2 separate regions of the Mus musculus genome follow, and region 1 is reported to be linked to region 2. Evidence: microRNA targets listed by miRTarBase, many of them from high-throughput screens and not tested one by one. Region 2 holds a microRNA gene; the other region holds the end of a gene's coding sequence.

Region 1 (3,000 bases), not on the chromosome of region 2:
TGGGAAGTTAATAATTTGATCATAATAGTAAAATCCCCATCTTATGCAGACAGAATATTATAAGCTGGAACCACCCCAAGCCTTGGTTGTGTTAGAAAAGTAAGAAACCCACAGGCTAAAATTGCTCTACCCTTTAAAATGCCCCCCCCCCCCGTGAGTTGTTTGTAAAGCATACGTTTGTAAAGCTTAGAGCAACTTAACTGTGTGGGGGAATCTTAATTTCCTCATTTAAAAAACAAAAACAAAAACCTGTTGAGTTTGTTGGACAAAGGCATTCTGTGTGTGCTTCCAGCAGGGCTGGGTGCACAGTAACAGGCGTGAAAACAGCGTCACTTTGAAAGGACAGCCCGTGACATCCTGGATTCTCTACCATGTACCATGTTTTATAGAAAACTATCGAAAGTCAGCGTGAGATTGGTTACTCTTAACTGTGTGTGTGCATTCATGGGAAGGCCAGGGGCCAGCTATCCACTCCGGGTTATTTTTAGTGTTGGTTTTTTTCTTGAGACAAACTCTCTCATCATGGACCTGAAGTTAATCACTACACTAAAGATGGCTGGTGAAGGAGCCCCAGGGATCTGCCTGTCTCTGCCTCTGCAATGCCAGGATCACAAGCACACACCTGTGCCTGGCTGTTTTACATGGGATCAGGTTCTTACTGGGATGGCAAGGACTTTGATAACTGAGCCATCTCCACAGCCCGGAGCTGGTTATTCTTAACAAACACTAAAGGTTTCCCAGGTTAGTACCAGGAAGCTTACTGTGGCATTCATGCAATTTTGTCTGAAAGCAGTCCCCCCCCCTTTTTTTTTCTTGTTTTTGTTTGTTAAGTTTTGTTTTTTTCAAGACAGGGTTTCTCTCTCTGCTCTGGCTGTCCTAGAACTTTCTTTGTAGACCAGGCTAGCCTTCAACTCACAGAAATACACCTGCCTCTACTTCCCAAGTGCCGGAATTAAAGACATGTGCCACCACCACCCCATTCCTTTTGGTGGAATTTTACCCAATTACATAGCAAAGTCTGTCTTAACCAAGTACCATGTCTTAACTCTAAACTGAGACTGAATACCCTAACTGTGGACGTATCACCCAAACAAGGGCTTTGAGACATTCTGTCTCTAGGTCAATTGTAAAAGCCCTCATTACTAGGATTTCCCAGGAAGTCCATGTGTATGACAGGACTTAGTACCCAATCCCATCAAAGGTACTTGGTGGTCCTGGGAGATACTTTTCAATATCACAAATGTGTTGTTAATATAAGCATTTCCTGTGACAAATGCTCTTGGTTGTTTCCCCTCTGAGAGTGTTTCAATGTTTTACAAGATCATTTTTTGCAGTGGATGATTTCCAGGAAAGTGGATCTTCAGCCATCTTCCCTTGTGGCTGTAATTTTTCCTAACACCAACGGTGCTGCCTAAGAACAGCCAGAGCTCATTAAACAGAATCCTGAGCATAATTATAATGAACAATTAGCTGGAAATTAGTCTTAATGATTTGTTTTAGATGACAGACTAGAGGCATAATATAATTATTTTTAAACTTTCCTCGTCGTTAAGAATGCAACAGCACCACCTTTCAATTATGGTGAATCAGACCTCACGGAGGCTGCAGCCCACTCGTGGATCGGAGCTAAGGCAACCGGAAGTCTGCACCCCAGCCCAGGTGTTCAGAATCACTCAGCCTTCCTGTTCAACTAGTTTTTTTTTTTTAAAGCCATTTCATGCCTTGAAGACATCTCCACTGTGAAAACATAAAAGCACTCAACTGAGATCCAGCTTTCCTTAGACCTTTCCCAAGACACCACGGGGATAATGGCAGGTGGTAGAGGAGCCGGAAGACTCTAGAGTCTATGGGTGATGCCAGTTCACACCATCGCACTGGACTAACGGGAAGGCGGAGGAGGGTGAGGATGTAAGGGCGGCTGGGATAAACACCAGAGCTAGCGCTGGCTCTAGGTCATCTCTTCCCTGTCTGGTGTTCTTTTCCTTTCGGTGTTCACCAAGTCAATTTGAATCTTGTTTCTCATTAGAACTTTAAAAATAGGTTAGATTCTCTAAATCACGCGTGTGCGCATGCGTGTGCTCCCAATGTCCCCGGAGCTGGAGGTACAGGTAACTGTGAGCCACTGAACTTGGGCTCCGGAACTGAGCTTGAACCCGAGTCCTCCGCAAGAGCAGCAAGTCCTCTTCACTTGTAAGCCGTCTCTCCACCCCTGTCCTCACAAGAAGTTTTTAAAAAGTACAATAGAGATCCAAAAAACAAGTTGTTTTGTTTTCTGAAAAAAAAATCTAAAAATACACATTTAGAGAATGAAAAAGTATTCGTTGTCAAAAGTTTGCCTTTACAAAATTGTGGTTTTTTTCACCTTGCCTAGTCAGTGGGTGTGCCGTTTCTGAGCTTGTCTCCCTCTGAGCCAACCTGTTAGGCCTTTGGTAGCTGGCCATCAGAAGCCATCAGGGAGCGCAGCCCAACACCCACATAAAAGACCTGGTACCTGTGTTTCCACATCACAAAGCAAGCCAGCAAGCACACGAGGCCACAGACCAGGTTTAGGACCATCTGGATGATTAAGAACAATTTGAAAGTGCCAGTGACGCTGGTACAGTCAGTCACATCCCTGTAAACAAAGGCCCTGCTGAGCGGCTCCGAGGAAGGCAGCTTGCACTGGCAAGAATCCAGGGAGGTCTCGCAGGTAAACTGCGCAAGCAGGGAGTAGTGGTGGGCGGCAAAGGCCACAGCCAGCATGCAGACCATCAGGCCGAGGGCACTCAACAGGAAGTAGAATACCTGCAAGAGAAAAGAAATGCTTCCTGTTACAGAGAGGACTGGCCAACCCTGTTTGACTGAGTTCTCCCAGGCAAGGGCCAGTCTCTTCTCAAAACCTAACAACCAAAGCCAAGGATATTACGTCCCACTGTTTAGTTAAATCACTGACTTTTGCAACAGAGTACCCCAGGCTGACCCCAAACTATCTCTATAGTTGAGGGTGATCTTGAATTCCCA
Region 2 (3,517 bases):
GGGGGGGGGGGGGCAAATGGGTGTACCCCCAAAATGGTACAGCACACTAGCCGTTCTCTTCTAACCCATTTGTGAAGTGAGGGAGCACCCCAGGAAAGGGCCAATTTTTATTTCAAGGGAGGTAGATTTTCTCGAAGCAATGGCTATGGCGTCTCTTAGGACAGCCATTGTGGCTGGGTCTTTCCCTTTCTGCCTTGAAAGCAGTCTGGCTTGTCCGGTAGGACTCAGCCAGAGACACCCTCAGGGTGTGGGCACTGCAGCTTTCTGCCTGCAAGAGTAAGCAGGCGGTGGCTTATTTCTGCAGAGCGGGAGAAGGTTCTGGGAATGCCTAGGTGGAATGTGGTAAATTGAAGCTCAGCCTGGCTAGCTCTAACATTCTCTTCTGTGAGGAAATTTAGAAGTTGAAATCATCGTAAAGAAGGACACATAGTAGATACTCAAGAAATAATGAATACTCTTGAGGAAACTAGGCCAGAGAGGTACTGATCTATGATATACCCTCAAATACTAATTTACTAGACTAGATGAGGCTGAGGCTTTTTGAGACAAGAGTCCTCCATTAACTTCAACGGATGCTCTTTTAGACCCTGATTACTGTGTTAGGAATCAGATTAAACTCCTAAACATCCTTCATGGGCTTGGCCTTGCAAAGGCAGGCCTCTGGCATGACAGCAGGGGGGAGGGCTACAGCCTGCTTCCTGGGGGTGGGTTGTGGGGGGGGGGAGGAGGCCAGCTCTTGGCCTCCTTTCCCTCCCTCTGCTGCTGGGTCCTGCCCCTCCTCCATTTACTCCACCTGAAAATTAATGAGTTTAGGTCGGCCACCAGGCCATCATCCATCCACTGCAGGTTGGCGGAACACTGAGATGGAGACGGGATGGAACTGTGTCGGGGGCCTCCAGGACCAGCTGCTGCTGTTGGGGGCTGATTTGGGAAGCAGGTGCTTCAGGATGAGGGAGGATTAACCCTTTCTGTTCCTGGACAGCCTGCTTCAAAACAGACTTTCCTTAGGCCTCCACCTTACTCATGCTGATTTTCCTTCTGTCTTGGGGTTTTAAGAGCGATGGGGAGAGGCCCACACTCTGGGGGCTGGGGGTGGGCTGCGCCTCCTTTTCCTGTAGCTTCTGGATTTCTGCCTGAAACTTCAGCCACAGCCCCAAGGAGGCTGGGAGGCCCTGCTTTAGAGCAGTGGGCTAGCTGTCAGTTTTGATGGAGTCTGTGCGCTGTCCATGAACAAATTTGCCGATCGCCTTCGCTCACTCCAGAGATCTGTTTAAGCTTGTCAAATGCCCACAGCTCTCCACCAACGGGTGACAAACAGCTTCCCCTAAAGACTACCCCAGCAACCCCAAGCACAATACAAGGTAGCTGCAGTCTAGGCTTTGGGGCAGTCTGCCAGTCGCATGGGTACTTGGTTATTATTATTTGTTTAAGGGTAATAAATTGAAATCCGGAACTAAGACAGGTAGGGATGAAGGTGTCGGCCTTCTACAATGGGCAGGGTCCCAGAGCTGAGGGGCACATTTTACTCTCCAGCCGTCCCCAGGCTATTTTCTGCCGCCGCCGCCGCCGCCGCCACCACCACCACCACCCCCCCGCTTGCATAGATCCGTGTTTCTGTCACAGAATGAGTTGTTTGCTTCCTAGATTCTATTTGCATCTGCACAAACCCCTCTCTGTCGGTAGCTGCACACCTCCCCACCCTAAGGGCTACTTTGCGAGGCACTCAGAAGCCTGCTACCCGTACTGTGGGCGCCTGCAGCTGCAGCGCTGAGATCTGCCCAGGGCGTTGTGCTGGGTCGATCCTTCCGTGGCAGGCCCTCGTGGACCCAAGGTGCTCAGACAGCCCCATTCTTGGCATTCACCGCGTGCCTTAATTGTATGGACATTTAAATCAAGGTCCGCTGTGAACACGGAGAGAGAGGCCTTTCTCCTGAGGAAGGAAGAAGGAAGGAAGGAAAGAAAGAAGGAAGGAAGGAAAGAAAGAAGGAAGGATGGAAAGGAAGGAAGGATGGAAGAGAGGGAGGATGGGAGAAAGGAAGGGAGGAAGAAAGGAAGGAAAGGTGGAAAGAAAGGGAGGGGATGGGGAGAAGATGAGATGAAAAAAATGAGAGATGAGAAAGAAAAAGCTGGCGACGCGTGCGTGTGCGTGCGCACTGACAGCAGGGAGGGTGTGGGGTTGGGGAACGCGATGAGCTAAGGACCACCGCATCCTTCCTACCGCAGCTCCCCCAGTCACAGACAATGAGATAACAGCCACGTCCTCCGTAGGCTCTTTGTTCTCCCGCATCCTTTCGTTTCCAAGCTTTTTCCTGCAAAGGGGAGGGGGGTGGAGGGTTCGGGATGTGGGTGGAAGTGGGAGACGGAGGGGTGCCTCCCCCGTGTTAATTACCCCGACTCCCTCACTCCTCTCCTCGCGCTTCGCCTCCCCTGCAGTTCCAGACAATGAAAAAACATCAACCCCACCTCGCCCCACCGCAGCGAATCCTACCCACCCAGTTCGCTCTCAGCTTCGCCTAGGAAACTGAGGGGGGCCAGGAGGAGGGAGATGACGGAGAGGAAAGGGATGGGAAGCAGGGGCCCAGCTACTGCTGCCTGGGCAGGGCTTGTGACCGCCGCCTTTACCTTGAGTGTAGGGTCCGGGTGTAGCCTGGCCGGGCGTGCCGCAGGGCAGAGCTGCTGCGGTCCCTTACCAGGATCTGTGGGAATCAGCCTTCCGGAACTCTCCTGCTGCGGTCCTCTCGCTTAGGTCCCAAGTGGTGGATGGGAAAAAGGAAAAGAAAAAAAAAATAAATAAATAAGAGCGAGGCCCATCTGGCCCCTCATCAGCCTTGTCAAGTCTTGCATACGCTAAAATGCTAATGACCTAGATAGCTCATGCAAAATGCAGCAGGGAGGGACAGAGAAGGAGGGGGAGCGAAGGGAGAGCGAGAGAGGGAGGAGTGAAGGGAGAGGGAGGGGGAGACAGAGGGAGGAGGGAGACTGGGAGGGGGGAGGGGGAAAAGAGAGAGAGAGAGAGCGCGCACCCCTACATGTTCCCCCACCCCACCCGTCAACCGGTTTTACAGAGGTAAAGGGTGGGTGTAGATTTTAAAAGGTCACCCCTATAGAATGTAGCTGGGTGGGGTGGGGGAGAGATCCCCAAATCCATAGGGACAATAAAATATTATTTTAAGACCCCTCCCTCTCTGCTCTCCATCACTCTGTTTACACACAAGTCCAGTCACCTTATGCATGTACATGTCAATTTCACAAGACTGCTTTCAACAGACACCCACGTTGCCATTCCCTGAACAAACCCACCCAGTGCACCAGAGTGAGGAAGGTGCTTCCTAACCCACAGACCTCCCTCACCTGGTCCATCCCACTCCCTACTAGTGCCTTATCCTTTCAGGCAGTCGTCCCCCCCCCCCCTTTCTCTTTTCTAAGCCTTCCCCATTCTCCTTCCCAATGGCTCAAAAAAGCCAGGTAGAGGGCATAGAGGACAAGTTAAATCTAACTGGATCGGTTCCGTTCAGCT

Evidence for each region. The annotated mature microRNA mmu-miR-3078-5p reads CAAAGCCUAGACUGCAGCUACCU and lies in region 2 at 1,360-1,382, opposite strand. An mRNA with a match to its seed (bases 2 to 7 or 8) in the 3' UTR can be bound and repressed. Matches are read on the target gene's strand: a 7mer-m8 pairs with bases 2 to 8, a 7mer-A1 pairs with bases 2 to 7 and ends in A, and an 8mer does both.
Region 1: miRTarBase lists Sspn as a target of mmu-miR-3078-5p. Seed matches in the 3' UTR shown: 7mer-A1 at 1,706-1,712.

Annotation. Positions count from the first base shown.
Region 1 is chr6:145,960,914-145,963,913 of GRCm38, reverse strand. It overlaps Sspn (sarcospan), which reads right to left. Exons shown (of 3, transcript NM_010656.3): 3 at 1-2,784. The coding sequence ends at 2,419. Among named protein-coding and RNA genes, the nearest start is that of Gm32838, 6.5 kb to the left of the region's middle.
Region 2 is chr14:64,589,065-64,592,581 of GRCm38, reverse strand. Mir3078 (microRNA 3078) reads right to left here and starts at 1,397; the gene lies at 1,311-1,397. Mir124a-1hg (Mir124-1 host gene (non-protein coding)) reads right to left here. Exons shown (of 4, transcript NR_040709.1): 3 at 2,623-2,741; 4 at 1-2,309. Mir124a-1 (microRNA 124a-1) reads right to left here and starts at 1,925; the gene lies at 1,841-1,925.